Linked DNA regions of Diceros bicornis minor. The protein of the gene in region 1 interacts with the protein of each later gene in a biochemical or structural test. Links are inferred from orthologs where the notes say so. Each region holds a gene or a part of one and is shown in the gene's direction. Other genes may lie near its edges. The genes, in order: CABIN1 and MEF2D.

Evidence for each region.
Region 2: the proteins of CABIN1 (region 1) and MEF2D form a complex in vitro, tested with the Homo sapiens proteins (2 studies listed by BioGRID). The link is inferred for Diceros bicornis minor from reciprocal best matches to the Homo sapiens genes CABIN1 and MEF2D.

What each region holds. Positions count from the first base shown.
Region 1 is NC_080774.1:28,581,506-28,597,680, forward strand, and holds the start of CABIN1 (calcineurin-binding protein cabin-1), read left to right. Parts: upstream 1-8,792; 5' UTR 8,793-8,833; intron 8,834-9,007; exon of another isoform or gene 9,008-9,216; intron 9,217-16,175. Other genes in the region: glutathione S-transferase theta-3-like, read left to right, coding at 1-26, 1,606-1,782, 2,106-2,300; DDT (D-dopachrome decarboxylase), read left to right, coding at 4,267-4,374, 4,630-4,847, 6,270-6,342. UniProt on the Homo sapiens protein: May be required for replication-independent chromatin assembly. May serve as a negative regulator of T-cell receptor (TCR) signaling via inhibition of calcineurin. Inhibition of activated calcineurin is dependent on both PKC and calcium signals.
Region 2 is NC_080743.1:60,057,002-60,072,800, reverse strand, and holds the start of MEF2D (myocyte-specific enhancer factor 2D), read left to right. Parts: upstream 1-9,083; 5' UTR 9,084-9,477; intron 9,478-13,974; exon of another isoform or gene 13,975-14,894; intron 14,895-15,799. UniProt on the Homo sapiens protein: Transcriptional activator which binds specifically to the MEF2 element, 5'-YTA[AT](4)TAR-3', found in numerous muscle-specific, growth factor- and stress-induced genes.

The sequences.
Region 1 (16,175 bases):
GCTGCCTCCGGGCCACGTGGCAGAAGGTGAGCTGCACCTGGGCCGTGTGGCACACGCGAGGGGCAGGGCCCCTCCCAGGATGCTCCACGAATGGTGCTTTCTGTTTAAAACATGCCCTCAGACCTGAGACCGTAGAACACTGACTTCTAGAGTGCAGACTCCCTAGGCTAACTGACTTCAACTTGTTTCTCAGAGGGGAACCTGAGCACAGAGCCAGGGACTGACCCCCAGGTGCTGCTGGAAATGAATCCTCTGCCCTTTTGCACACTCCCAGCTGCCTGGGAAGACTGCCTTTTGGGGGAGAAAAAAATCAAATCCTCACTTTGCTACACATAGACTCTCCAGATGGAGAGGTCAAGTTAAGTGAAAAACTCAAACTAGGAGGAAATGAGGAGACATTTCAAGAAATGTCGGTCTGCCTTCTGGGTGGGCAAGGATTTCTAAGCCTAAGAAGAGTGGGAGACTTAAAGTAGAGTAATTGATTTTACACAAACAATGAAGTTTTGTGTAACGAAAAAAGGATTAAACTTAAAACAAGCGAAAATCGGGAAGATCTTGGCAAAGATATATTAGAAAGAAATAACGTTTTTAATATTTAAGATATTCTTAGAAACCCATCAGACAAAGACACGAGAGAAAAATGGGCAAAGGAAACCAGCAAAGATTTAATTGAAGGAGAGAGAGAAATGGTCAATAACTGGACGGAAACACATTTAACCTCAGTAAAAATCCAGTCAGTGCACATTAAAGCAGCATGCACGTACCATTGTTCCTTATCAAAGGTGCAGGGGTTTTGAAACGTGTCCTCTGAGTTATTATTTGCAGAGTGCTTACATGGTGCCCGGCAGGAAGTGGGTGTCCTGTGTGTGAGGGAGCATGACACGGGCATGCTCACGCCCTGCTGCAGGGAGGGCACCACTGTTCTGAAGGGCCATTTGGCAAAAAGTAGGTTTCCATAACCTTGAAAGTGTCTTCCTTGAGCCCCTAGGGGCTGGGAGAGGAGCCCCCTCAAGCTGGTGGGGGCAGGAGCCTGGTGCATTTGAGGGCAGAATGGAGAGAAGTCGAGTCGAGTGAGTGTAGACCTTTGCTACTCAGAGGGTGATCCCTGGACTAGGAGCATCAGCATCACCTGGGAGCTTGTTGGAAATGCAGAGTCTCGGGCCCCAGTACCCAGGCGTACTGATTAGGAGTGTGCACTGTTAACCAGACCCCAGAGGGATTCGCATGCACATTCCCATTTGAGAAGCCTGGAGTGGAGTAGGAGGTGGGGGTGGGGAGATAATGGCTGCTGCACTGGTGAGGGCCTTGTGTTGAGGCCTTTTCTGGTGAGGGCAGTGGGGAGCCATGGAAGGCTTTATGCAGGGAGAAGACCAGGGCAGACTGGATTGCAGAAGGATCCCCACTGGCGGCCCTGTGTGAGGACCAGGGAGAGGTGGAGGCTGTCCCTGTTGGGGTAGGAGATGACACTGATGGTGGCCATGGGTAGAAGGGGGTGGGCTGGAGTGAGGAGAAACCTGAAGGATTGGTGATAGACTGGATGAGAGCAGGAATCAGGGTGGGTTTGGGGCAGACCCTGAGCCTTCTGTCTGCCTGCCCACCCACCAGTTGATGGGCCCTGTGTTACTGGGTGAACGAGTGCCCCCCGAGACGTTGGCGTCTACTCTGGCCGAGCTGGACAGGTGCCTGCAGTTGCTTGAGGACAAGTTCCTGAAGGACCAGGCCTTCCTCGCCGGGCCCCACATCTCAGTGGCTGACTTGGTGGCCATCACAGAGCTGATGCATGTGAGTGCCGAGGGGTCGGGTTGCCCAGTGGGCAGTGGGGCATCCTGGGAGGGAGCCAATGTACCAGCTCATGTTGCCCTTTCTGGCCCTGGGACCCTGGGCGAGTCACTTCCCCCTCCGAGCCTCAGCATCCTTATCTGTAAAATGGGGCTTCAGAATCCTGCAGGGATATTGAGGAGCTTCCCAGTGTCTCCTGGAAGAGAACCTCAGCCTACCACTGGTGTGGCAGAGGAGGGAAAGTCCACCAGAAGAATCCCTAACCAGGTCATGCTGCCTTGTACTTGACCGTGCTCAGCCCCCCGCCCGGCTCCCTCTCCCCATAGCCCGTCAGCGCCGGCTGCCAAGTCTTTAAAAGCCGACCCAAGCTGGCCGCGTGGCGCCAGCGCGTGGAGGCCACGGTGGGGGAGGACCTCTTCCAGGAGGCCCACGCAGTCCTCATGAAGACCAAGGACCTGCCTCCACTGGACCCGGCCGTGAAGGAGAAGCTGAGGCCCTTGGCGCAGGTTTTGTTGCAATGAGCGGGGGCCAGGCCTGCAGAGCCAGCGACAACGAAGGAGACTCTGTCGTCAGAAGAAAGAGATGCCTCTCCTTGGCTGTGAGCAAGAGATCCTGCATAGTCTCCGGTCCGCGGTTCCCTCCATGCATCAGGCCTGCATTCCTTCTTTTGTCTGTCTCCTCCCTTACCCCTTACACTCTGACTTCCATGTGCCCTCTGGAGAGAGCTTTAATAAACACATATTGACCCTGTCCCTTCTCTGTTTGAAACTTTCCACGGTGACTCATTGACCTGAGGCTGAAATACAGGTTACTCAACTTTGCATTCAAAGCCTTGCGCCCACCCCTCCGGGCTACCCCCTCCAGGTTGCACACAGTAGCCCATCATTTCCCGGCCCTCCCAGCTCCCACCTCAGCCTCCTAACCTTGGCTCAGGCTGTGTCCACTGCTTCCAGAGGCCTCCTCACCTTCTTTGCGTGGTGCCCCCCCGGGCCTTTTCGCATGTGTCACCATGTGGCTTCTCCAGGGACACTTCCCCAACCTCCCCAGCCCCTGGGGGAGTCAGGTGATCCCGTCTGGGCTCCTCAGCCCAGTGCTTCCCCCCTCAGTCCTGGCAGGGAGCTGGTTCCACGCCCCCTGAGCTGAGCACAGATGGAGGTTGACCCGGTGAAGAATCAGGTTTGAATCAGGCCTCAGTCTCCTAGGTCTCTCTCCCTCTGGGTGACACTCTTTCCCACAGGTGGGGTGCAGGCCTGGTGCATGAACCTCCTTGCAGGGAGGGAAGTCCCAGGTTAGTTCCTGGCCCCCGGGTGCTGCCCAGTGGCCTTGAACCCCCCTGCCTCCTCATAACCCCACCACTGTCTTCTCCATGCCCCACTGTGGGTCCCACACTTGCCACCTGTCCCTGTCCTTTCCCCTCAGGACTGTCACCACCTACCTGCCTTGTGTCCCAGACCCTCTGATATCTGAGTCATCTAATAAACTGCTGATGGGACAGGGTCATGACCAGACAGAGCCTCCCGCCCGCCTGCCTTTCTGTGGAGGCTCCTTTAATATGCCCGCTTATATAGAATTTTAGATGTGTAATTGAAATTGTTCATATACACCCACACAATTATATTTTCATCTACAATTCAAACCACTTTGCAGTACTGATGAGAGCACCCTGTTTAGCCTTTTCAACAGATGTCCACGTTTTAAATAACACCTTTTGTTTTGCCTACAAAAAGGTAGGGTACCCTAAACGTTGCTGGGAAGTCGACCAGGACCTGGCTCGCTCTCACCCCCTGGTGGACAGTACTTCACTGTGAGGCGAGGTTGCCGCAGGCACAAGAGGCCACAAAGGCAGACGTCTGTGGGGGCCAGGTAGGGATGCAGTGAGCCCGAGGGTCTCTGGCCAGCCCTACCCGAGCCCACACGTGTCACCAGGTCTCCTGATCAAGAGAAGCGCAGGTTCCCACGTTGAACGTGAAGTTGCCTGAATTTGAAATGATGGCAACTCATTCAACAACATTTGCTAAGCCTCTGTGACGATGTAACGTTATTAGGGTCGAGCCTGGGGAACGCCCCTACGGCGTGTGTGTTTGCGGGGCGTTCAGACCTCCATCTAAATGTGGGCCAGGAAGCAGACACCGCAGCGCCCGAAAGCCACAGGGGACGGAAAACCGCGGCCAGTGTGGCGGCAGGGGGGGCGGGACTGGGGCGCAGTGAGCGGGGCCAAGCCTCGGCCGACGCCTCGTTGGGGGTGGGGTTACACGGAGTGGGCGGGGCGGCAGGACTTCCGGAAATCAGCTCCCGCGTACGCCGAGGTTGTCGGCCGGGCCGGGGTAGGCAGCCAATCGGGGGGCGCTGCCTGCCTGCCCATCCAATGAGGAGCCCGGTTCCCGTGGCGCCCCGCCCCTGCCCCCTAGTCTCTGACCCTTGGAACATGGACCCGGACTCCGCGCGTTCTTTCTCCGCGGTGGTGGTTTGCGCGCCTTCCTGCTAGACATGCCGTTCCTTGAGCTGGACACGAACTTGCCCGCCGGCCGCGTGCCCGCAGGACTAGAGAAGCGGCTTTGCGCGGCCGCCGCCGCCATCCTGGGCAAACCCGAGGACGTGAGCGTGGGCCTGGGAGCACCGGGTTGGGGGAAGTCGGTGGACCAGGGGTCGGGCTCTGTCCACGCCCCGGCTGTCCCACCGTGACCGACAGGGACCCCTGACCTCCCGCTCTCCACACTCCCCACGTCTGCTCCGTGTCGCCTTCCCCAGCCATGACCCCAACGTGACCTCCAGGGACCCCGGCCGGTGCCCCCAGTCCTGATCCCACGGGCCCGTGCGTCTCGGACCGACCCCGCGCCGTTCTGTCCTCAGAGCGAGCCTGGCCTACAGCGGCTTCTTTCGTGTCCCCCGCAGCGCGTGAACGCGACGGTGCGGCCGGGCCTGGCCATGGCGGTGAACGGCTCGACCGAGCCCTGCGCGCAGCTGCTCGTCTCTTCCATCGGTGTGGTGGGCACGGCCGAGGAGAACCGCGGCCACAGCGCCCGCCTCTTCGAGTTCCTCACCAAGGAACTGGGCCTGGACCAGGACCGGTGCGTAGGAGCAGGGAGAGGACCCTCTTGGACTGCTGCGCCACCGGGGGATAGTGATCCTACCTCAATGCCCCTCCTAAAGTTGGGGGAAAAAATAAATTCCTGGCACTACAGAAGACTTGACCCTTGACCTCTCTGGCCCCCTGGTGGAGGGTCAGCCTTCAGAGTGGTATCAGAATTGAATGAATTCCTGGCTCTGCAGCTGTCCCTATGACACCTGGGCAAGGCGTGACCTCTTAAACCTCTGTGTTTCCATCTGTGAAGGGGGAAGCCTTTCCTTTAACCACTCCCTGGGGACACTGCATGGGATGGCAATGTATTATATTTGCTTCCGCACCTGGCAGGTTAGGATGTTGTTATCTGACAAAGCCATAGCCATATCAGCTGCCTACATCTTAGAAAATCAAGAGTAATTTTCTTGGAGAATTTCTCTGGCCTGGTGAGGTGGAATTCTGGGTATGTCCTGAGGCTGTGGCCTTTGGGCCTGTGGCCCAACCAGGTCCTAGGTAAGGCTCCCAGGAGGGTCACGGAGTAGTGGTAAGAGCATTGGTCCAGATGTCTGGAGGCCTGGGTTCTGGGTCTAGCAGAGCTGGGGACCCAGACAAACCTGGAAGTGAACCCTCTCTGGTTTGTAGCCTTCTCTTCTGTGAATAGAGAGGCATGGATTCAGTGATTCCCCAGGAAGCCCCTACAGCTCCCAAACCTGGGATCCTGTGGCAAGGTTAAAGTTTCTTCCTGGGCGAAAAATATTCCTGAGCCCAGTCCATGCCTGTGAGGATCTAAGGGCATGAGAAGGTTGAAAGAACCTTTGAGAATGGAGCCTTTGTTGGCCCAGAAAGGCTGGTGAGGAATGGTCACTCCTGGGAGGTGCTCGGACCTGGTCCTCAAGGTGAGGAGAGACGATAATTCTAACAACAATAAGTAATGTGCGAATACTTATCACGCGCCAGGTGCCCTATAGGTGCCTTACGGGCATCATCCCATTTGATCCTTACAAACTCTGTTCCCCTCTGCACACCCGCTCATGCAGACATGCCACCCCCATGAGGTAGATACCTCCATTATGCCTAGTTACAGATGAGAAAACTTGAGGTGGTCACACATACTCCCCCCAAGGGTGTCCTGGGAGCCTGCAGTTTGGAAGAGGGAGGGCTGCCCTCTGAGCCCATAGACAGGGCATACAGTGACCACAGAGGCTGCTGTGTTGAGTAGCCTTCCTGGGTGGGACACAATGAGGTGCAGCCACCACCCCGCCCCTGACAGGCCCACTGCCCTGTTGGGGGTTGGGAGGAGAGGCAGGCTTGCAAATGCCCGGGGGGCTAAGGCCGGCTGGCTGGGGAGCCCATGGTGGGAATGCCTGGCTAGGGGTCTTGGAATAATTAGCCAAGGAGCTGATGACATCTTTTTCTTTGTCTCCTGAAGGATAATTATGCGCTTTCTCCCCCTGGAGCCCTGGCAGATTGGCAAGAAGGGGACAGTCGTCACTTTTTTATGATTGGCATGGAGAGCATCCAGGGCATCTGTGAGCTGGCGGCCCCTTCCACAGAAGCCTTCTGGCAGAGTGAGGGCTTGGTGGATACCAGCTTCTGGCACCCCCACGTGCAGACATGCCTGTGACCTCACAATCCTCTTCTTCCCCATCCTCATTCTAATAAATGAAGAGAGCTTCGTCTTTCAGACACGACTTCTTTACTTCCTTTTACCCCTCCCTGGCATTCTGGGCCATCCTGGGCAGAGGGGCTGGCTAATGAGGTGGGGACTTGAGGGAACCTGGGAGGTGGGATGTTGCCTGTCTTCAGGGCCGCTCTTTCATGTATTGTATTTAGGCTGCTCAAATCCGAGGGTGGAGGGCTCAGCCTGGAGGCCCTGCTCTCCATGCCCATGTGCAGGCTGGTAGGGAAGGCTGCCAGCCTGCTCTAGCCTGGGCCTTCCTGCAGACTCTGCTGACCAGATGTTTCCATTCTCAGCCTGGGCTGGTCTGGGCAGTTCCCTCCCCTTGAAGGGGACTGCTGTGCCCAGCAGGAGAGCAGGGCAGCCTGGGATTCAGAGACCTTTCCTGGGCGTTGCCAAACTCCGTCTTCTCCCATGAGTCTTGCTGAGAATTCTCTGTAGCTGTGCACCTTGTAAAATCCATGTCCCAGAATGGCAAACCTGGAAAGGCAATGTCTGCCACTAGAAAGTGAATGAATGGGATCTCCGCCCCCCCATCAAAATACCATGTCATGCTTTTGCATTTCAGAGAATATACAGGTGGGGTGGGGGGAGCCCAGAGGAAGTGTCCTTTTCAGTTTCCTTCCAGATGTTCAATGAAGAGTTTACATGTCTTAAGACTCTGTGGTGGGTGCTGTGTTTCCCTGCACAGTTAAAGGTTTGATCATCCTTGTCTGTAGTGCACCAGTGAAACACCAGATGGAGATGTTCAGTCTACGCAGTCCACCTAGTTAACAAAGTTAGTTTCCAGTGGAATGTGCCTCTGCCTGCTGTGTTTGTACCTGACCACTGCTGAAGACTCACGAAAAGCTAGAGCTTGGAATTCCTTCCCCTGGCTCCCTGTCCCAACTGTTTCTGCAGTCATTCCTTCCGCCAACATGGGTGTCCTGCTTCCCAGAGGGGCTCAGGGAATATTTGTGGGTTGTATGTAAAAGAGCGATTGAAGTGCCCAAGGAGGGATTCAGCCCTAGCCCCTGCCAGGACCATAAGGCAACAGCCTCCAATCTGGTCTCCCCACCTTAAATCTCTCACCCCACTGTAGTGAGAGGGATGTCATCTGCTTGCTGTGGGGACTGGCCCTCCCCCCTCTCCAGCATTATCTCCCCGTTGTGGCCCTGAGCTTTGTCCCCTGGCAATACCGTGCTGCCCAAGGCTTCTGCCTGTGGCCTGCACTCTTTCTCACCGCCAAACCCTTGCCACACAGCTCCCTGCTGTTTGGACCACCCTTCTCATGTTTTTTCGACTGTCTCAGACTGTCTCCAGAGCCCCTTTCAAGATACAACTGGGGGTGGAGGCTGCACCCTAGGTTGCATGTTATCCATGAAACTTTGAAACCATCTGTTTATGCTTCTGTTCATTGCCCCTGTCCCCCAAGGCTGTACGCCTCTCAAAATCAAAGTTAGTGACTCAATTATTTTTGTACCTCCTGGCATATCAGTAAAGCTTTCTTGTACTGAACTGACTCTATGAGTTCTTCACCAGGATTTTACTGTCTTGAAAGTCAAAAAGAAAGTCATGTCATTCATTGCTATTTAAATCATCCTTGCTGGACTCCAGCAGCTATGAGGTTCAACCACAGGGTGAAGGCCTCCCCCAAAACGCTTAGCTCCCAAGAGCGTGACGTCTCTCAGCCCGAAGCTGAAGCCGCGCTCGGCAACCCTTCCGTGCGGGACCCTCTTCTCGGCTCTGGAATGCTGTCACTCCCTCGTTTCCCGGGTCTCTGAGTTTTGGGTTTTTCCCCCCTTTGTTTCACTAGTTGATTGCATCTGTGCCTTTGGGCTTCAAATCCTTTTCGGAAAGAGGTGAGGCACAGGTAATATGAAGAAGACGACTCTTCCTCCCCGGGTTCCCTCTAAACGTTCCCCACGTTTCCACTGCCTTCAGAGCACCTGTCCCGCTTGTAACAACGATAACACAGCCCGTCATTTGGCGACTGCTCGGGGCCAGGCACCGAGCCCGACTCTTCACACGTATTACCAGCGGTGGAGCCGGGAGTCCGACCGCTCCGCGAGCCGGCGCTCCGAGCCCACAGCAGCGCGCGCACACAGCGGAGACTCACGGAGGTTCGAGATGCGCTTCAGGCCGCTCGGCTCGGCGCCCGACGCCACCCGCAGGGGCCCAGCAGCCCGCCGGCCGGGCGGTGGAGCAGCGCGTGCGCCTCGCTGATTGGCTGGCGGAGCCGGCACCGCAGCCAATGGGAGCGCGCCTTGTTGTCAGGCGCGCAGCCGGCCGGCGCGGGGGACGGGGCGGTCGGGCCGTTGCCGTGGAGATGCCTGGTGAGTGCCGGGGAGCGTGGGGCGGGTGTACGCGCGGGTTGGGGGCGGCCCCCGGGAGGTGGGGCGCGACTCTGCGGAGCCGGGGCGGGGTGGGGGCGCGAGCCTGAGGGGCGGCCGGCGCTGGGGGATCCCCCGGCAGCCTCGGTGCGGCCGTCGGAGAAACCGAGGCCGGAGCGCGGGAGCGACGAGGCCGGGCCTCCAGGCCGCCCCGGGGGCCGCCTCACGGCGAGCCGCCGCCCCGGGGGCCAGGACGGGCCCGGCCTCGGGAGTGGTCTCAGGGACCACAGCACGAGCCGCCATTGATCCCGCGTCTGCCCGGGCCGAGACCGGCGCTGACCCTTGACTCGCGTCCTTGCCCTTCACCTTCGCAGCAGCCCTGCGAGGTGAGTGTTGTGATGATCGCCCTTTACCGGGAGGGCACCGAGGCCGGGAGGTCCGGGGACTCGTCCAAAGTCACCCAGCTAACCGGGGGGCAGCCCGATTCCCCACGGCGGTCTTGACTGCGCTGCCTCCCGGGCCGGGGCGGGCCTGGCCAGGCGGAGCTTGCCGGCGCTCGCAGGTGTCTGCTCCAGCGGCTGGGGGCGCCACTTCAGTCTTGGGGCCTGGGTACGACAGGCCGTGGCCGTGGGACGGTCGGCTCCCGGGCGGCCAGGGTGCCTTCCGTGTGGTTCATAACCGTGGTTAGAACTGAAATATCCTCAGAGGGGGCTGCTTCAAGGGCCCGCAAACTTTTGTTGTAAATATAATAATAGAATAGTATTTTTTTTAAAGATTTTATTTATTTATTTTTTCCCTCCAAAGCCCGAGTAGATTGTTGTGTGTCATAGCTGCACATCCTTCTAGTTGCTGTATGTGGGAGGAGGCCTCAGCATGGCCGGAGAAGCGGTGCGTCGTGTGCGCGCGGGGATGCGAACCCGGGGCCGCCAGCAGCGGAGCACGCGCACTTAACCGCTAAGCCACGGGACTGGCCCAGGAATAGTATTGTAATATGTTGTGAATATAATAAGTATAATCATACTTATAAGAGTAAGTATTTTAGGCTTTGTGGGCCAGACTCTGTGTACTCCACTCTGGTGTCAACTGTGGATACAGCCAAAGACAATACATAGGAGAGTGGCCATTTTCCAATAAAATTTTATTTATGGACACTGGAATTAGAATTTTATATAATTTTCATGTGTCACGAAGTTTCTCAACCACTTAAAAATGTAAAAAGCATTCTGTGCTCCTGGGCTGTACAAAAACTGTGGGCTAATTAGCTTGTGGACGGACGCCTGGTCTAGTTTAGAGCTTCCTACTCTGAGACTCGGAGAGGGGCATCTTAGAGCAAGTCAGCGGCACAGCCTGGTAGTGCCACCCTGAGCTGCAGACCTAGGCTTCCCGGCTCCGGGCCAGAGCACACAGGAGACGTCACGGCTCATCACTGGACCCGGGTATGAGATGCTCAGAGTGTGCTCTTCTTTATCGTGTGTTCTTAAGGCCGTGAAAACCATGCTCTGAGGAATTTGGAAACTTGTAAGATTGAACTCCTGAATGCGCTATTCTGAGAAAGTGCAACTGCTGGGCTGCGAGTCCGAGAAATGAGTAGATACTTTCTTATGTATATGCAGTAGCTGCTTTTTTTTAAGCTCCTTTTAGTGGGTTTGTGGTTAACAATACAGATGTGGTCCCCATCCTCACATTGCTACAGATGATAAATACATAATCTCAGATGGTTGTTTCTTTTTAAACTTTTTATTTTAAACTAATTTTAGATTTAGATATTGCAGCAATAATACTGTGAGTTCCCATAGGTCACTCAACCTACTTCCCCTCAGGTTAACATCTTATATAATCATAGTATAATTATCAAGAACAGGAAAGTAACATTGGTACAATATTATTATCACACCTACAGACCTAGTTCGAATTTCACCTGTTTTTCCACCAGTGTTCTATTTTCATTCCGGGATCCTATCCAAGATCCCATATTGCGTTAAGTCATTTCTCCTTAGTGCTTAACAGTTACGTGGTCTTTTCTTGTCTTGGCCTTCTACTTGTAAAGAGTAGTGATCAGTTATTTTGTCTAATATCCCTCAGTTTGGGTATGTTTGGTGTTTTCTCATGATTGGAGTGACGTTGTGTGTTTTTGGCCAGAACAACACAAACATGGTGTTCTTCTCAGTGCATCATATCGAGGAGTTGAAGATGATGTTGTGTCTTATTACTGGCGATATTTACCTTGATCACTTGATTCAGTTGGTGTTGCCAGGTTTCTACACTGTGAAGTCACTCTCTTTCCCTTTCTAGTCGGTAAGTGTCTTGGGGAGATACTTTGAGAGGATGCAAATTCCGGTTCTCACAGATTTACACTCACTGACCTTAGCATCCACCTGTGGATCTTTGTGTTGTTTGCCTAAAGGTAATTTCCTATTTCTCTCTCTCCTTTTACATTTATTAATTGAAATTCAATTGAAGGAAGAGCTATCCCTTCTCTCCTTTATTTATTTGATTATTATTTGTGTCAGGATGGACGCCATGGATATTCATTGTATTCTATGGGTCAGAATCTAATATTATCATCATTTTGTTGCTCACTGTTCCGGCTTTGGCTATTTAGGATCTCCTTGAGGTTAGCTGTGACAAACCCTCATCAATTTTTTGAGCACTTGCTTACTTTCTGGCACCGCAAGATGTTCTAGGCTCATTTTGTATTTTCTCTGCCCCAACCCTGGAATCACAGTTCTTTTTGTCTTTAGCCTTATAGTATCCAGTCAGGCTGCTGTTTTCCACGGTTGCTTAGGTTAGTTCTTTTCTTCCTTATGCCCTTCAGTGTGGTTATGTTATTTGTAATACAGTAGGTTCATTGTTAGTATATTCCATTTGGGGTTCCCCCTAGATCTTAGGTGATTTCAATTGTTTACTTTTTGAGTGTGAAACATGACTGTGGTTCTAAGAGTCAGAGCCATACACAAAGGTGTTCTCAGAGCAGTGTCCCTCCTCCTCACCCTACCACCCTGTTCCATTCTCCCCTTCTTTTCACCCCTTTCCCACTCACCCCCTATAGCTAAGTGATCTCTTTAGAACCTGGATTATCCTCTCTGTGTTTCTTTGGCACAAATGAACAGATGGTCATGTATTTTCTTATATCCTCTTCTTTCTCATATGAAAGGCGGCATGCTATAGATAATTGTGTTTACTTTTTTCACTTAACAGTATGTCTGGAAAATCACCTCATATCTGTTCATAGAGATCCTATTCATTTTTAAAAACAGTTTTATTGATATATAATTTATAGACCATACAATCACCCATTTAAAGTGTACAACTCAGTGCTTTTTAGTATATTCACAGAGTTGTGCAAGCATCACCACAATCAATTTTAGAACATTTTTATCACCCCAACAAGAAACTCTGTATCTATTAACAGTCACTGCCCATCTCCTCTTCTAGCCCTAGGCAACCACTAATCTACTTTCTGTCTGTATAAATTTGCCTGTTCTGGACATTTCACATAAATGGGATCATACAATATGTGGTCTGTGACTGGCTTCTTTTACTTGGCGTAATGTCTTTATGGTTCATCTATGTTGTCAGTAGTTCATTACTTTTTATGGCTAAATAATATTCTGTTGTATGGATATACCACATTTTATTTATCCATTCATCAGTTGATGGACATTTGAGTTGTTTCTACTTTTTGGTCATTCTGAATAATGCTGCTGTGAAATTCCCTCATGAATTTTTACAGCTGCATATTACTTCATTGTGTGGATGTACCATAGTTTATTCATTCACTGTACTATCTATGGCCATTTAGGTTGTTTCCAATATCGCGCGATTACAGACCGTTCTGCAGTGAATAACCCTGTGCATATGTGTTTTCATGTTGTTGGAGGTGAATGTTCAGTGTGGATTCCTAGAAGTGGAATGGCTGGGTTGAAAGGTTGTTACCTATTGTCAAATTCCCCTCAAGAGGGACTGTATTTGCATTCCCACCAACAATGTATGAGAATACTGCTTGTTTCCCTACAACCTCCCCAGCAGAGTGTGCTGTCCTACTTTCATTTTTGCCAGTGCGATAGGTGAAAAATGGTGTCTCAGTGCTGTTTTAATTTGCATTTCTCTAATTATGAGTGAGTTTGAACATTTTTTCATATGTTTTCATGTGTATGTCTTTTTTTGTGAATTGTCTGTTCATATCTTTTCCCTGTTTTTCTATCAGATTTTTGGGGGTTTTGTCCCTCGGGGTTTTTTTTCTCTTTTTTTAATCATGGTAAAATACACTTAACATGAAATGTACCATTTTAACTATTTTTAAATAGTTCTGTGGCATTAACCATATCCACACTGTTGTGCAGCCATCACCACCATCTACCTCCAGAACTGTTTTTCATCTTCCCAAACTAAAACTCTGTACCCATTAGACAATAACTCCCCATTCTTCTTTCCCTGCAGCCCTTGGCAACCGCCATTCTGCTCTCTGTCTCTATGAATTTGCCTGTTGTAGGTACCCCATATAAATGGAATCATATAGTATTTTTCCTTTTGTGGCTAGCTTATTTCATAAGCTTATCATAATGTCTTCAAGATTCGTCCATGTTGTAGCATGTGTCAGAAAGTCCTTTTTAAGGCTGAATGATATTCCATTGTATGAATACACCACATTTTGTTTATCCATTCATCTGTCAATGGACACTGGGCTTGCTTCCACCTTTTGGCTATTGTGAATAATGCTGTGTCCCTTCGTTTTTAAGAGCTCTTTATGTGTTAGAAATATTAGCCCTGTGTCTGTGGTACATGGTTGCAGGTATTTTCTCCCAAATGATCAGTTGTCTTTTGACTTTTGATTTTTTTTTTTGTCGTGCAAAATTTTAAAAATTTTTATGTAGTTAAATTTATTAATCTTTTCTTTCACTGCCTCTGGATTTTGAATCATAGCGAGAAAGACTTTCCCTATACCAAAGTTAAAAAGAAATTCATCCATGTTTTCTTTTAGTACTTGTATAGATTAATTTTTTCATTTAGATCTTTAATCTACTTGGAGTTTATTTATGTATATGGTGTGAGGTATGGATCTAATTTTATCTTTTTCCAAATGGCTACTAATTTGTCCCAACACCACCTGTTACAAAGTTCATCTTGATTCCAGTGATTTGAGATGCCACCTTTGCCATATTTTAAATTTCCATATATACTTGAGTCTAATTCTGGACCAGTTCTCTCTGTCTGTGCATGTACCAGTACCGCTGTTTTAATTATTAAGGCCCTATATGGTATGTTTTAATGTCCGGTCGGGCTCATCCCCTCTTGTAGCTTTTCTTTTTCACTGTTTTCCTAGCTATTCTTACATTTTTGTCTGTCTATATGAAATTTAGTGTCATCTTGTCTAGTGTCTTGTTGGTATTTTTATTGGGATTGCATTGAATTCATAAATTAAGTTAGGGAGAACTGACATCTTGATAATGTTGAGTCCCGTCCAAGAACAGAGGATGTCTTTCTACTTGTTCAAGTTTATGTTAGTATCTTTCAGTAGCGTTTTTAAATTTTCCTTGCGTAGGTTGCACATTTCTGTTAACTTGATTCCTAAGTGCTTAATTATTTTGTTGCTATTGCAAATGGTATTTTTCTCACCATAATGTCTTCTCTTTGTGTATGTGAAGGCTGTTGATTTTCGTATGTTAATTTTATATTGTGTTACTTGACTGAGTCCTTTTATTATTGTTTTATCATTGATTTTGGGGTTTTCCAGGTACTCTATCATATTATCTGCAGTTAATGCTAGTTTTACTTCTTCGTTACCCGTTCTTATTCCTCTAATTGGTGTCCCTTTTCTAACTGCAGTGCTAATACTCCTAGTACAGTGGTGGGTAGTAGCAGACATGATGGGTAACTTACTTTGTTGCTGATATTAATGGAAATACCTCTAGTGTTTCTCCAGTAAATAAGATTTTGGTTTTAGGACTAAGGTATATATATTTTACCTTGTTGAGAAAGTATCCCTCAATTTCTGTTTTCTTGGGTGTCAGAGGCTTTCTCTTCTACGGAGATAATCATGTGATTTTTTTGCCCCTTAAATGATTTCATTGTATTTTCACATGTGTGATATGTGTTTTCATTGTTAGTATTTCTTCAGATTTCTCCAATTTTAGTTGCATTTCCTTTCACCCAGAAGTTGTTTAATAGGAGATTCTTAAATTTTTAGATAGAAGGACCTTTCTTTTGCTGTTGGTGATGATGGTGTTAGTAAATTCTAGATTTAATGTATTGTGTTCAGGGAGTGTTGTTTTTAATATTTTTCCTTTATAGAAGGTGTTTTCTTTGTGAACTAATACACGATCAGTTTTTTTTGTGGATTTGCTGTGAGCACTGGAGAAGAACACGTAGACTTTCTTAGTAGGGTGTAGTTTGATACACATCCCTAAGTTCTGCTCTATTTGTTTTCTTGTTCAGATCTTCTGTCTCCTTATTTTTTCTCCACTTGATCTGTCTTGTACTGAGGGTGGCGAATGAAAGTCTCTTATTACTGTGTTTCTGTCTATGTGTGCTTGCATCTCTTGTGGTATTTGCTTCTTAAAATTGGATGCTCTGTTATTTGGTGTATGTGAAGTGTTATATCTCGGTGTGAATTGCCCCTTTTGTCACATTTCATACTTTTGGGCTTGAATTATACTTTGTCTGATAGCTAGATCGCTCCCCTGCACTCTTTTAAAATATTGTATTTATTTTTATTAAAATATTTTTATATTTATTAAATTTAATTTAATGAGTTAAATTATTTGACCTTTTTTGGGGTGTAGAGTTCTATGACTTTTAACATGTGTATAGATTTGTGTAACCAGTACCACAATCAAGGTACAGAACAGTTCTATCACACCCCAGAATACCCCTATGCTACCCCATCATAGACACTGTTCCCTACCCCTGGCCACCACTGACGTGTTCTCTTTCACTATAGTTTTGTCTTTTCAAGAATGTCATGTAAATGGAATCATACAGTATGGAACCTTTGGAGACTGGCTTCTTTCGCTCAGCAAAACACCTTTGAGATTTATCCAAGTTGTTACGTGTATCAATTGTTGGTTCCTTTTATTTTTGTTTTGTGGGGAAGATCAGCCCTGAGCTAACATCCGTGCCCATCTTCCTCCACTTTGTGTGGGACACCGCCACAGCATGGCCTGACAAGCGGTGCGTCGGTGCGGGCCCGGGATCCGAACCCCGGCCGCCAGCAGCGGAGTGCACGCACTTAACCGCTAAGCCACGGGGCCGGCTCCTGTCGGTTCCTTTTAATTGGTAGTACTATTCCATTGTATAAGCTGTATTCTTTTTTTTTTTTGCTGAGGAAGAGTCTCCCTGAGCTAAC
Region 2 (15,799 bases), on another chromosome or scaffold:
CCACAAAGAGCCTAGAGAGAGAAAGGATTATAGCTTTTCCGGACCCCACCTGCTTGAGTGTTCCCAGCCCAGGTGCCAGACATATGAGGCAGACTTCGCCCCAAACTCTGTCAGAATGCAACAGCGTGAGACTCTCAGTGAAAACCACCCAGCTGAACCCAGTCCCTCCCCAAAACCATCAGCAATAATAATATAATGATTTGTTGTTTTAAGCCACTAAGCTTAGATCGTTGATTAATACACATATACCCATACATGCTTATTTGCATAAATGGCCTGCTATTGTATAGATTGCTCTGAGACTTCCTTTCTGCACTGAACAATTTGGCTCTGAGACCGCTGTGTGTCAGTGGGCCCAGATCCACTCCCTGCTTTGTAAGGCTGTGGGGCATCCCCAGCGTAGATAGTCCATAACAGAGCACAGAGGACTTTCAAACATCTTTTAGCTGTGGCTCAGCTCTTCAGAGGAAAGCTTACTTGGACGCCCACTATGTAAGACAAGTGAAAGAAGCCGCCGGGCCCTGCACAGTGCCTCTCCTCACTAAGCTCCCTGGAGGAGGAACTCCTTCTCCACCCCAGTGCCCATCCCTTGTCACTTCCCCAGCACCTGTCATAGGTGATCAATAAATACTTGTTGAACAAAGGCGCTCCTTCTGAATAGGAGCTGAGCCAATGAGGGAAGAGTGGTGACGGCCCTGTGTCAACACTGAGTGACAGCCTGTGCTGCTTCCTTAAGTTACAAGTCCTCAGACCTGTTAGAGATGCGGTTGGGTGGGTGACAGGGCTCAAAGGAGAAAGAATAGAGTCTTTCCTATTGATGGTTACCTCGGTCAAACTCCAGTCAACCTAAAAATAAATTTAAAATAACAGAATAGAAATAAGAAAAGACAGTGGGAACTTCAGCTTTAAGAACACTGAGACTTCCAGGATGGGTAAGGGACCCCTGCTGACAGGCTGCCTCCTCTCTGTGTGGCCTCTGTCTGACTGGGAGGCGGGCGCAAGTTCCAACCAGCTTCTCCTCCCATTCCATGCCCCCCCCCCCCCCAGCCAAGCTTCCTCCCTTGGGCCTTTGCATTTCCACAGAGGCTCCTACCTTTTAGCAGACAGGGAAAGTCCTCGACCCCTCCCATCAGACAGGGAAAGTCCTCGACCCCTCCCATCACCCAGTGAAAGATGCTTAACCTGGTCTTTCATCCCCTAGCCCCTGCCCCACCGCCACATGCCCTCAGAGATAGTCTGAGTGTGGCACAGGTGCCCACCCACACACAATCACAGCATCCTGGAGAAGGATCACATACTTACACACTCATTAACACGCTGACTGGGTGAGGAGTACATCCCTCCTCTGTAACAGTCATGAGGAGGATGGGAGAGGGAGCCTTGAGCTTTGTCCACCCCGCTCCTTCACTGTCTCCCTGCACCCCCTTGGTGTAATCAGTGCCAGAGACCCCTCCTATGCCCTCCAGGTACACAGCCTCTGGTTGCTGAGCAACGGCGTGCCTCTTCCCCCTAGCTCAGCAACCTCCCCTGTAGCTCTAGTAGCAGCTGCAGCAGGGAGAGCCAGACTGGACCTCACAGGAACTACTGCTGCTGCTGCTGCTGCTACTGCTGACAGAGAATGTGTGGGAACAAGCCCCAAAATAGGCCTGAGTGTGAAACCCAAGGTTCTTTTTTAACGCCCAGGTCCCACACTGACTCTTGGAAAGTCCTGCCATGCTCCCCTGTCCCCAGCTTCTGCCAGGTGCCTTGTTCCCCCACCCATATTGGGTGTCTTAGCCCACTTGGGTGCTCTCATGTGTCTGCCCTTCTCTCTGCCCTGGGTCTCTGGATCTGCCCCTATGGTCTCTCCCTCTCTTGCGCATCAAGGCCTCTTGTCCTTTTGTCCATCCCTTAACTCCACATCCATGTGTGTCTGTCTCTGAAGTCTCTGTGGCTGCCCCACCCTCTCTTGCAGCCCCTCATGCTCAGACTGTGTAACTTCCAATCTCCCGTTCATTAACAGGAATCCCCTCACTCCCCAACTCCAAGGGTCAGCACTGTGATAATCCAAAGTTGCCATAGCAACCATGACCACACCCCCTGTTACCACATTTCTAGGAAAGGCCTGTGGTGGGAGGGGTCACAGAAGAGGCCCCCAGGAGAATCCTCCTTTCCTCACAGCCTGCCCTGGGTTTCAGCTTCAATGGAAACTGACACTGGACTTCTGGACAACCAGAAGCCTAGGCCCAGAAAAGAAAGAAAGTCCTTCCTGCAGCCTTCCTACCATCCCCTCAGCTACAATGTCAGAGTTCCCAAGAGAAGCCTCGGAAGAGGCTCAGCACCTGCCATGCTCAGGAACCTGCCCTACCCAGAACAGAGCTCCCCAGCCCCCAGCTGATAGAGTGCCCTCCAAGGGCATGGTATCCATCTCCGGGTCTGTGTCCACCTGACTTGACCTCTTTACACTCCCTGCCACCACACCTCCCTCAGTCCTGGATGCTTGGCTGTGACAATACTATCTGTGGATTAAGAACCAGGACTAGGGAGCAGTCAGCAAAGAGAAAACGAGGGGAAATACTGTCAGAGTAAAGGGAGGTGGGGTGGAGCATAGCTCCCAGGCAGGATAGGGTTGGAGGAATGCTGAAATGCAGGCACGAGGGAGATTTAGGGAGGGAGGCCTGGATTCTGCCTTCTAACAGAGGAAGCAGGCAAATAGCAGATGGAAGTTTCAGGCAGGAGGCCGGACCAAGTGACCTCACCCAAACCCTGTGGTCTGCTGCTATTGTAACCTGGCGAGTCTCCCGGCTCTCCTGGGTCCCCAAGTAGGAGAGCTTTTTATAGTTCACTCCCCAACTTGGGTTTGAATAATTAAAGAAGATGGACAGAAATAGCAGCTGGACAGCAAAGGCAGGTTATTTTGGGGTTTTCTGGAACACAGAGCGCTCCTGGGCGTCACCCTATCCCTGCAGGGGGCGGAGTCACCATCAAGGCCGATGGGAGATTCCTGTGGGGGAACCCACCCGCACCCCCCAGGGTTCCTTGGGTTGACAGGGTTGCTTTCAGCCAGAGGAGGGTCTCACCGCTTCTTTCTGGTCTTCAAGGAAGGCGGAGGGCTCTTGCTGCCTTCTGCTCATAGCTCCTCCTCTGGCAGGAAGTCCCTCTGTTGTCTGTCAGCGCTTCTACTTCAGAGATGGTGACAGATATTGAAAATCAGATCGATAAGCAGCTGCAAGACAGGCTGAACCAGGAGGAGGTGGCTACTGCTCCTCTGGTCAAGGAGCCGGAATCAGGTGGTAGGAGGTCTTGTCCCCCCTCACCCCTAGACTATAACTATCAGGAAGCTGTGGAGGGAAGGAAGGTTGGGGTGTAGGATGGCAGGCAGAGCTGGGGAGAGGAATTGGTAGAGGAACAGATCAGGCTCCAGAGAAGAAAAGGCCAAAGATAGATTAGTGTCTGGGCCAAGAAGCTCTGAAGAGGCAAGAAGCTCCCCTCTTCCAGCTTCCTTTTAGTGTCCTCTATTCCTGGCAGAAGTCCAGCCTCGGTGTCCTGGGACAGGGTTTTAGAGCTGAGCTGGGGATGTGGAGAAGTTGGGAGGACCTCCTCGGGTCTCCATCGCAGACCAATCATTTGTGGTTTGTTTGCATAATACTTTTGGTTTAACCACAGAGATTAGGGCCTCACCCCAATTCTACCTTGAGGCTCTACCACAGAACTTAAAACCTGGGGTACAGAGGGGGCATTTGTAATGTGTTCTCCCTTTGGGTAACAACTTCAGCGGTGGGTTTGGAGGTCAGATTCCAGGAAATGCTGAAATCATTCATTAATTCAACAAACATTTTAAAGCATCAACCATAAGCCTCACACTGTGTTGGTGCTGGGCATAAATTACAATGGCAAGGTCCTTGCTCTCAAGAAGCTCATAGTTTAGTGAGGGAGATGGCCATCTTAAAACCTACTCTCTACGATTATTGAGCACACACTATGCAATAGATACCATACAAGAGCTTCACAGAAATTGCTCTATTTAATCTTCATAGCAAGTCTATGGTCTAAATAGCATTAGCCCCATCTGACAGTTATTAGAACTAAGATGAAGAGACTTGTCCAAAGTTACTCAGCTAGTAAACAGTATAAATGGAATTGGAACCACGTTTACACGATTCCAAGGTCTGTGCTCTTAACCGCTGCCCAGTGGTCGCTAATGCACGGAAGGAAGATGCAGGTTCGTTAAATCATTAAATGCTGTGGGTGTTGAAAAGAGACTGAGATTGTCTCTAGCTGCAGGTATGTGCTATGCATGCTGGGTGGGGGTTGGCGGTGGGGCAATCAAGGAATGCCTCCTAGAGGAGGTGGCTTTGCACTGGACTCCATTCATGCTACAAAGACTTTAATTGAGTATCTACTAAGTGCTTTGTTCTTGGTGCTGCAGATACCAAAGTGAACAAAATCCTTGCACTATGGACATGCTGGACAGGGATAGAGGAAAGGCTGAAATTATAATTAGGCGAGTCTTAAATGCCAAGTCTCCTTTACTCTCAGAGTTGTTCTGCTCCTCCTGGGTTTCTCTCCCAGGCACAAATACCCAAACTTCTGGCGAATCTAGAGTAAAGGCCTGGCCCTCCTACTCTGGGAAGTTCTTCCTAACGTCTATCCTGCATTTCTTCCAGTTCTAATAAATTTCCCCACCTCCCATTTCATTTCTCTTTTTCAAGGCCAAATCTCACAGCAGTAACCGGGCAGGCCAAAAGAGTCTGGCCCTTTAAGGCCACCTTCTTCCCCCCACGTGCCGTCAGGTTGGGCTGGCGACGCTGACGCACGCGTGACGTCAATGGCAGCTGGCGGAGTCTGGGCACGAGGAGCAAAGTTGGGATGGGGGTGGGGGGCGAGAGCGTGAGGGCGGTTCATTTGCATTTAAAGGGGCCACTCCCGGGTTAGTGATCAGGGCTTTCAAGAAATGTGTTTCTGGCAAACTTTCCGTCTTGGGCTATGGGGCAAGAAAAAGGCGTGGTACAGCTGAAGTCGGTGGTGACTCGAGTTTGCGATGTCAATTATGTCCTTCCGCGGAAAGGGGAAAATAGTCCGTCGGTGCCTGGGCTGGAAGCACGTGACCTGGAGGGGGCGGATGGGGGGGGAGAGGGAAGGAGGGAGGAGCTGGGGAGACGACTGTCAGGCTTCGTTTCAGCTGCCCCCACCCCCACATCCTGCCCACCCTCCTGCAGCTGCCACCACATCCTGCCCAGTCGGGGGCAGGGAACTTGTAGGGGGGGCACTGACCGAGGGCCCGGCTTTGGTACCCCTTCCCTGCCCCCTTTAGTTCCAGGGTGGGGCCTCTGCCCTTTGCCCGGGGCCTGGCCCCAGGCACCCGGGCACTAAGCTTGGGGCACAGCTCTGCCAGCACAGCCTTGGACACCTCTCTGCCTGACTACGCCGCCACCCTCCACCCACTCCCCCTCCCCAGGGGGGGACTTGTCCGAGCCCCAGATCAGAGCCCCATCCCTGGGCTAGCACAGTTATCAGTGGACGAATAGAGGTATTCAGTAAAGTTTTTACAATCTTAACTCGGATACACAGCTACACACATACACATATACAGATTCATGTAACGGATATCTGCTGAGCACATCCCATGCAGGGCCCTGCAAGGCTCTGAAGACCCAAAGTTGAGTTAAACTGCTGCCCTCAAGGAGCTCAAGATCTGGTGAAGAATAATATTGGAAACCAACAATGTCAGTACCATATGGTGTGTACTGATGAGGTAAATACACAATACAGAGCACTATACATAAGTAGAGGCACAGGATGACACACAAGTCCACACGGAGAATGTATACACAGAAGGACCACCAGTACACCGGCTGATGGCCCTTCCTGTCGCAAGCAAGGTGGAAGATGTGGGGAGAGATTGGTGGTCTTGACTGGGATTATTGGAAAACTGGGAGGAAGAATGATCAGCCAATGGAAGGGATGAGATGGATGGTGCTGGGGGGTGGAGATAGCAGCCATAGAGCCATACAGAGGCTGAAAGAGCAGGAATGGCTTCCCAGAGACATGGAATAACAGGCAGGAAGAGAAGCAGCCCTTGAGGATGAAGAAGACCTCTCCAGATTAAGTTGGATTCGGGAGGCTTGGGGAGGCATGAATAAGGGGAGCTGTTGGTGTTCTTGTGCCATGTAAACTTGGGAACTTGATGCTTGTACAGAGGAGTTTACACACACTTTTTAGGACTTTGGTGGGCATCTGTCTGACTCCTAGGGGATTTTATAGCAACTTTGGGCTGTTAGATGATTTTTCTCTAGGAAAGATGGGTTGGTAGCCAGAAGTGGAGAAGGAAAAATGAGACCCAGGTGTCTAGTCTGCTCAGGCATTTTCCGCCTAAGAGGATTCTAGGACCGCTGGTCCAGGGGCTAGAAGAAAAAGATGCAGAGTTAGTTTCAGGAAATGTTCATTATAAACTAACTTCCAGCAGCATTATTCCCTAGATCCTTCCCTGTCCTTCATGGAAATCAAGACCTCATGTTTATAACTTATCCTTTCTCATGAAGTTCTCTCTAAATAAATAAATAAATAAATAAATAAATAAATATTCTGTCTCCCTTGTAATATCAGCCTTGCCTACTCTGTCCTGCACTGTTCTCTAGTGAATTATCATTTCAGCATCTCAGGGTTCAGGACACTCCATCTCCCCTACTGAGCTCTTCCCTCCCCTCCTTTCTCCCTCCTGCTCCTGGCCCTTTAACACCCTCCCAGGTGACTCACCTTCCTTCCTCATTCTTTTGTTAAGGACCCAACATTCCACGGGCAGGGAGGACTAGCTGGCCAATCACAGCCCTGGCAAGCCTGCCTTGGGCTTGAGATTGGCTGGAACTGTGGTTGGCGGGAGACTTACCATGCAGAGCTATAGGAGGTTGGGGAGGGGGTTTCTGGTAATTAGTCCTGGGAAAGAATTTGTTCTGGGGCTGCTTATGTTTTTGGAGAGAATCCTTCAAGTGGAGCTGGGGCCAGAGGGGTCTCTGGCTTGGAGAGCCTCAAAACTAGAGGCAGGCGGAGAACTCAGTTCTCTTGGTCTCCTGCTGGCTTGGGTGCCCCCTGCCCACTTTGGTTTTGTTGTATGATCTGGGACCCAATGGTCTGAAGGCTGAATTCCCAGGCCTGTTCCTAAGAAGTCTTTTCCAGCAGCCTTGGATCTCTCCAGTCTCAACATTCTGCTTTCCCGACGTCGGAAACAGCCGGAAAATAAACACCCTGATGACTAAACGGTTTCTCCAGCTAGAGCCTGGGGAAGCACTAAAAATAGAGGCCACAAGTGAGGGGAGGTTCCCCACTTGAGGGAGGGGGGGCACTTTCCCATCCTGCTACTGCCATAGCCCCAGGCCTGGCACAAGGCTCTGTTCTTCTCCGAGTCCTTGGGGACAGGGCAGATGGCTCCCCCTGCCTCCCCTGAAGTCCTTCAGGCAAGCTAGCTCTGCCTGGCAAGGAAGGCTGACATCTTCTGGTGCTGGGGCCCCATCTCCCAGATCCAGTGGGCAACTGAGAAGCTACATTTGGGGACAAAGTAGGACACTTTAAATCAGGTTTCCTGAAGGAGAGGCCAGGTGGAAGGGTTGGAAACTGAGGCCAAGGAAATAGTTTGCTGGCTTCTGGTCTGGGGACATACAGGACAAGCCTCCAACCTGTTTGCAGAGCAATTCCACTGAACTTGCCTCCTTTGAGGCTTGTATGGGATAATGGGCCTAAAGGTGTCTTTGCAAGTCCAGCCCTTGAGTTATTATAATGCAGAATGAGGCACCATTCTAAGCAATTTACTTGTATGAACTAATATAATCTTCACACCAAATTTATGAGTTAGGTACTATTATCACCATCTCCATTTTACCCCTGAGGATCATGAGGTACAGGGAAGCTAAATAATGTTCCTGTGTTCAGTTAATAAATGGTGGAATAAGGATTTGAACCAAGGCAACTTGACTACTCCAAAGTTGACACTTCTAATCACCATGACATGCTGCCTCTCTTTGTATATATTAGTCTCTTCGGCATTTAACCCAGAATCAGAGTCTTTGTTCAGTAAATCAGACCCAGCCAGATAGAAATCAGGGTGTGTGAAGAACTGAGTGCCCTTCTGTTCTGCAAGGTTCTTTGAGATCTAAGCCAGATTCCATCATTTCCTCAAGCTCCAGGTAGAAAGCAGCAGGACTTGGAAGTAACAGTAATGCTGGAGAGCAAATGTGACGGGACATTTATTCAGTAGGCTGGCCCCTAAACTCCTGTTGTAGGACACATAAAGATTCACCACACCTTGGGGCAACCAGGAATTTCTAAATTTTACATTTTTTGTAAAGAGCTACTACTGCTTCTGTAACAAAATGCTTTTGGGCGTTTCCTGTGCTGGGGCAAATTAGGGTCCCGCCCCTTTAAATTGCCCCCCTCGGCTGTAAGTGCTCTGGGGCCCGCAGGCACTGGGGATTAGGTCACCCAAGAAGTATGAGCTGTAGCTTTAAATTGCTGGGCGTCTGCCGAGCCGGGCCCGGGGAGGGGAGGGGTCCTGTCACAGGTAGAGGGAGCAAACGAGCTCCCCAGGTAACTCCCCAGGAATGAACGTGTCCCTTTAAGTGGGGCTTCGGCACACATTAAGTGGGGGAGATGGAATCTTTTCACCACTTAGCGTCTACCCTCAATTTATCTACTTAGACTCCCACCTCCCAACTCTCCGGGGGCCTGGCGGGAGGGGGGTGGGGATGTCGAGGTAACGTGTGTCTGTGAGAGTGTGCGCGCAGCCCGCGGAGCCTCCCCAGAAAGGACCTCCTTGAGCGCGTGGTGGCAGCAGTGTTAGGCGGCCGTCCGGCGAGCTCGGAAGGGCTCCACGGGCGCAGGCCGATCCCTTTAAAGGCCTCTGGGTCTCGCCTCGCTACTTCGCCTGGCTCCGTCCCTTCCTCCCTCCCTCCCGTCTGGCGGAGGGATCTGCCGCTCCCGGCGCTGCAGCCTAGCTTTGGAGGGCGGTGGGGTGGGGGCCGACCCGGCCCGGCCCGGCCGGCCCCAGGGAAGCGAGGGGCGGGGCCGCGTCCCCAGGACCGCCCCTGCTCCGGCCCCGCCCCTCCGCCCCCACGGGTTCCTCCCATTGGCCCCCCCACCTGTCCATCACCCCCGTTCCCCCACCCCTCAAGCTAGGCTGAGCTGTGCCTACGTCGGCCTCGACTCCTGGGGGCTGGAGGAGTTACCTTTGGAGCCCGAAAGGAGGAAGGAAGCAAAATATCAACAACAGCCGAGGCGGGTCGGGCGCTCGGCCCCGGTCCCCTGCTTGCCCGCCGCCCGCCTGCTCGCCCCCGCGCCCACGACGGGGGCCCAGGCCCCCCGGCGCCGCCCAGGGCCCGCGCGGACGCCGGCCTCATTTATTATTCCCCCCGCCCGGATCTGCGGCTTCCCAGTGTTGAAGATCTCTCGGACCAGGGGCGAGGTCTACCCCCTACCAGCTGTGACACCCCCCTTCCCCCAGCGGGGCCGGTGAGTAGGGAAAAATAATGCGCCTGCCGCTTTAAGAGGCCCCCTCCCCCACCCCGTCCTGGGGTTGGGGTGGAGGGTGGTCTAGACCGTCCCCCTGAGGGGTGGGATGGGGTGGCCTCCTAGGCTGGGAGGAACTCGCGGAGCGGGCTGTGTTTTCGTGTGGCGTTGGTGGGAGATTACATGGGGACTGTTTGTGTTAGGGAGTCGGCTGTGGGGGACAAGTGAAGTGGGCTGTAATTCTCTTAGGTGTTGGGGTCGGGGTGGGCTTGGGGGCGCGCTGGTCTGTTGGTGTCTAGGGGTTATGACGGCCTCCGAGTGGTCTGGGAAGGGGCGCCATCCTCAGAGGGGGTCTCCGGTGACAGCCAGGAGCGACTGACATTTTAACAGCCGGCCCTCCCTCCCTCTCCCTCTTCGCGCCGCCTGTTCCCTCCTCCTTGGCCCGAAATGGTGCAGAAGGGGGCCTGGGAGGGCGGCGGGAGGGTGGGGGCGGGGGGAGCCGCAGCTGTTTGGGAAGCGGGGGAGGGAGGGGGGATGTTGTTCAGATGACACCGGGGTGGTGGGTTGGGGTGCGTGAGTGTGTGTGTCCGGGGCCCCGGGTTTGCCGGGTGCCTGTGAAGTTGGGACGCGGAGTCACCACGGAGGTGGACACGCAGGACCCTTCCTTGGGATCTCTTAGCCTGCTTCCGAGACCCTTGATCTGGTTTGTCAGCAGCCCCAGCTGAAGAACCCCCGGCCAGAAGTTTGCAGCTGTTCAGCATCTGGGCAAGAGTTCTCCGGCCCCTCTCTCCACCTTTGGCAGGCTGAACTGGGCCAAGAGTGGGGGTCTGGGGAATGTTGGAGGGGCTTTGGGGGAGGGAGGGCCAAGAAGACTAGAATGCATCTAGTCCCTCACCCCAGTGCCAGCCCACATTCTATCAGGTTTGGGTCTTACAGGGTTTGGGGAAAGGGTCTCCCTCCCTCTAGTAATTCAGACTGACCTCTCAGCAGATTCCTGAGGTCTCTCCCCATAAAGGAGGGCTGCTGGGTGTGGGCACACTTGGAGCCACTGACTAGGTTATCCCAGGTTTGTCCTTCTGAGTGGGAGGTTCTCTCTGCCTCCCCTTAAGCAGTGCATTGTTGATGGGTTGGGGGAGGGCACAGTGGGTGGATCCTGTTTCTCCTACCCTGTGCCCAGCCCCACTCTTGAGGTCTCCTTGTAGGCCTGGTTTCTTTGGTTTGGGGGAAATCAAACGCCCCTCTCCCCTCTCCCTTCATTGGGTCTCCTAGGCAGTTCAGGGGCCAGCCTGGACTATGGGAAGTTCACCGTCTGGGGCGGTGACCTTGGGCTGTTCTGGCCTGGAGATAGGAGGGGAGCTCAGGCCAGCACGAGATTGGGTGTTTTGAAGTTTGGGAGCTGTTCACCTCCCACTCTCCTCCAACCCCCCAACAGGGAAGTCTTAGTGACCAAGGAGAGCATTGAAAAGGCACATGTTAGTGTTCACAGATGTCTGCCTGCCTGTGGCCACTGGGTCACACCCGCCCCAGGACTTAGCCTGGCTGTCCCAGCTCCCACGGCCTGCCTGGGAATGAATTTCCTTCCTGTGGTTTCCCAGTGTGTGGGGCAGGAGATGGGGGTGGGGTGGGATCAGTGTGAGGGTTGCTGAGGACCCATTTGTATGGGGTGATTGGGGGACACTGGAGCTTATGTATAGCTCTTTCCCCACTTCCCCCACACAGGCATTTGGACCGTTGGGTCTCAGTGGTCATATTTTCTTTGTTGTAACTCCTCTACTCTGCCAGCACATCTCATATGTGTTTGTATATGTGTATGTAAGTGTATGTATGTGCATGTACATTTGTAGGGGGAGGAGTCTGGGGAAAGGAGGAGCTTTCCCTCATGCTCCTTTAGATACCAGAGAAGTCGAGCTTTTTACCTGAGATCACACAGCAAATCTGTGTTAGAGCTTTAGTCCCACTGCCACTAGTCTTTCAGGCACAGCTTCATAGTAGGAAGAGACCGTAGGAAGGAAGACACAATCCTTGCTCTTGGAGGCCTTGGTCCAAGGGGAGAAGCAGGACCCAGTCAGAGAGCATCATAACCCTTGTGTTGGGGGATGGGCATGGGAGATTAGGCTGGAGCTTCTGTCTGCTGTACCCAAGGCCTGGAACAGAGTGGCAGAGGACTTGGAAGGGTAGCGAGCGCTGACCATTGTCCACCTCACTCTGTATCTGCTGCCCCTGGGCTGAAGGGGCCTGGGCGTCCCAGTTCTGCCCTGCTTGGCTCCTGGCTCATCTTATAGGCTGGGAGATATGATAGTCTTTCTGGCTGCTGTTATATAATCTCTCTCCAGCAGGTTTTTTTTTTTTTTAATCTTCTCTGGGTCTTTCCTGGGAGGTGTGATGAGGGGAGAAGGTGGAGGGTAAACTCCCCAGGTTGGGGGCTAGAGGACTAGTAGCAAAGAGGCTGGGATAGACCCCCTGGTCCCTGAGAGGTAGAGGGGAGAGGAGGCCTTGGAGTTAGACCGTGACTGATTGTGACCTAGCCCCTCCCACCCTCTTCCTCTGACCCTGCCCTGGGAAGGTCTCTCTGATGTGGGCATCCCTGGCCTTGTGCCCTCAGAGAGGCCTGCCCCTCTGCTCATGCTGTCAACCTTCACCTTCTGGCCAGCGGGGCCCCCTGCCCTCCCTGTTTGGCACTGGGTCCGGAATCTCAGTGCTTACCCTGGCCTGGTGTGGGTGGGCCCTGTGTTGAACACTCTGCCACCCAATTCTGTACCTCTGCGGGTGCAAGGGGAGGCAGGGATAGATGAGTGGGTCCAGCATTTCCCTAGTTGTATTTGGAGCCAGGCCCCTGCTTCTCTGCCCCTCTAGTCCAGAGGGTGGTGGCCTTATTGGAGAAGACGAGTTGGTGGGGTGGGTAATAGAGGCCTCGACCTCTTGGGCACAAGTCATGGTTGGTGTTCACCTGGGTTCTGTCAGTTTATATGAGGATCAGATGTGGTCCTGGAACCCATCCTCAAGTGTCAGATTCTGGGTCTTGTGGCATGTGGTGGCGGGGTCTCCCCACCCCTTCAGGCCATGGCTGGGACTCTCCAGGCTCTCTGAGGCCAACTGGTTTGCGGCAATTATCTCCCTTTAAAGGGAAGAAAGAGATGGTGGTGGGGCCGGCATAGCCTCAGCATCACTGTAATTGCTGGTGGCTTTTATGAGCCAGGCATGGGGCCGGAGTCCGGCCAACCGTCTGTCCTGTCCCAGTTTGGTTACTTACTCGGGGGGGAGGGGAAGGTGTTAGGTACTAGCAGCTCTGCTCTGGAAGCTGGACACCTTGCTGTGCTGCAGTTGATGTCGCCTTGTCTGTCCACAATTGCAGCAGGCAGGCTGGGGCTTAGACCTCAGGAAGAACTTCCCAGTGGAGCTAAATGGGAGAGAGAGAGATGGCTCTAACTTGGCCTGGGAAAGAAGGGGGTCTCAAAGCACTTTCTTCTCCAATGGCTCTTGGTGGCTTTGCTGAAAGGCCTTGAACCTTGGCCTCGTGGGGATGGTGCTCTTTGGCTCCTGGAATATTTATTTTCCCTTCTCTTCCCCTGCCTGAGGCTGAGAGTCTTCTGGGGCTGTGGGGGCTGGGTGGGGGTCTGTGCGGACGGGCATGCCCAAATGCACCTGGCAAGTCCACAGCATTTCGTGGTGGCAAACACGCATGAAGGTGTGTGGCACATACACACCAGTGTGTAGACACCCACGGAGCAGCTGCCGCCCTGTGGGGGGTGGGGGGGTAGTGAATGGCAAAGATGATTAAAGGATTGGAGACTGGGGATAGGGTGGGGGGACTGGAGGCAAGAATGTGAAGGGTGTGCAAGCACTCTGGAGAGAGAAGGGTTGACTAGAGCAGGAGGGATTGAGGTTAGACCACAGACGGGCAGACCTAGAGTGTGCCTTGTGAGTTGAGGAGCCCCGGCTGACTTGCATCACTACCCCTCACAGCCCCCTCCCCCGCATTTATTCTTCTCTGTGGTCCTGGCCCAGCCTGCCTCTGCCCCTCACTGACCGTGTGCCCTTGGGTAAGTCAGCTTTCTAGATGTGCAGGAGTTTCACCAAGCCTTGTGGTGATCAGAGCACCCCGGTGTTTGTTGCTGGTCTCTGTTGCCCTCCCCACTCACCCTGATGAGCGAGGCCACTCTGAGGTGTCAAGATTACACCTGAGCCCTCAGGCATTTTGGGGCAGATCCCTGGCCTGGGTGATCCCCAAGGCCCTTTGCATCTCATTTTTACTTTCCTGAGGCTGCTGCTACAACCTGTCCTTCCTGGGAGCCTAGCCCTGCTTCTGGCCCGGCGTGGAGACAGGGGGATGCATTCGTTGATTCTGCACAGGACCCCCATAGCCTTGGGGAGGGGAGGCGGTGGTACCTGCCCTGGGTCTTTCTCCCTTCTGCTGTAGGGTGGGAGGGGAGGGGCTTGTCTGGAGCTCTCGCTTGTTGCTAGCCACACCCAGGCGGGACCATATTTACTCATTTAAACTCACCCTCCCAGGAGGCTCTGGGCTCTAGGCCTGGTCACTGACCTTGGCCTGGTGCCTCTGGCGGAGTGCTCTGGCCACTCCCCTAGGAGTTGGGCAGACCAGGGAAGCATATAGAGAAGGAGCTTTTTTTTGGTCAAGAGAGCTTTACCCTCAGGCAGTACCCACTCTCCCTGTTTTCCAGTATACTTTGGAGACAGAAAACTAAAACTTTTCAGGTTCCTGGGGACTGGAAGAAGGAAACTTCCATTTGCTGAATCCCTGTGTGCCCAGCTCTGTACTGCGCATGGAAACGTATGGAGACTCATTTATTTCTCTCCACAACTGTTTTTTATATTTGGGGAGACTGAGTCAGAGATTTAAGGGACTTGCTCCAGCTTTCCCAGTTAGGAGGTTGAGGGAAGGCTCCTGCTCTGCAGGTGGGGCAGTGGAAAAGGAGGTCCAGGGAGACCGGCGAGAAGGAGCAGGATTTGGTGAAGGGAAGAGCTAACCTAGTAGGATTCCCTGGCAGAGGGCAGAGGATTAGGGTTTGGTGGCAAGTTGAGGGGGGATGTGCTTTCTGAGAAGGTATTGTCTTCTGATTGAGTGCCATGGGAGAAAAGCCCCAAAGCAGGGATATGAAGGCAGGAATGGATGACACTCAGAGACCCCTCCTGGGTACCCGTTAGTCCCCCCTTCAGCTACCAGCTGAGATGCATGAGGAGAAAGACTGGAGCGGGAAGACTTGAGCCACGAGAGTCCTGGGCTTGTCTGAAGGCAAGACACAAGGCCGAAGTGAGCCTCCCAGGTCCGGAAATTAGGGAATCTGCGCTGGAAGGAACATGCCGTAACCCTCAGGTGGAGGGAGGCCCTGCCTGCTCTCAGCCCGGGTTGTGCGGGGAAGCACTGTGCTCAGAAGTCAGCCCACCTCTGCCGCTTATTCCAGGTGACCTTGGGCAAGTCCCTGCCCACCTCTGAGTTGGTTTCCATTTCTGTGAAAGAGAGATGCCTCACTGGGAAAGGAAGGTGGTTCAAGGGGAAAATGTGTGGTACTCCACACAGAGGGGGTGCTTAGAAAGTGGGTGCCTCCTTTCTTCCAGACATCAGCTCCAACCCTAAGCAGCCACCCAGAAGCTGGGGTGAGGTCAAGGTCCCTGGGTGGGGACTTGGTGTGGAGGGGGACTGAGGAGGCCCTGAGGAGACCTCCAAGCCTGGGGCTCAGTCTGACCCTGGGATGGGCTGGGGAAGCTGAGTCCAGCCCTGCCCTCCCCAGCCAGCTGTCTCCTTGTCTCAGAACCTACCCCCTCCACACTTCGTCCCACGACTCTTAACAAGTCCCTCTGGCTGCATGCTCACTTACTCCTCAGGATTTCACCACCCCCACCCCGCCAGCAAATACCTGGAGTTGAGGGTTGGGAGAATAAGGAAAAAGAGGGAGCTCATCTCCGAAGCTCAGGGGAAACCACACAGTGGGAGTGGCCGTGGGTGGGCAAAGGAGGGGTCGGTCTCTTTGCCTTTGCGTGGAGTCTTCCACTCCAGCTGGATCAAGTAACATGGACACAAGGGGGTGGAGCAGATGACCTCGAACCTCGAGCTTTTCTCCTTAAAGCACACATGTGTTATGTGTATGGTGAGGGACGATGGTTGGAGGTAGAGCAGGAGGAAGGGCTGATCTTAAAGGGGTGCTCAGGCCTTCTTAGTCACATCTCTCCTTGACCTCTGGGCCCCTTTCCTCCTGCCCCCACAGCTGCCTGCCTCTCTGCTGACTCCCCTTTGCATACCCCATGGCAGGCCTGTGGGGCCCAGGCTGACTGGGTGGGGACAGGTGTCCTGGCCCAGCTGCTCCCTCTT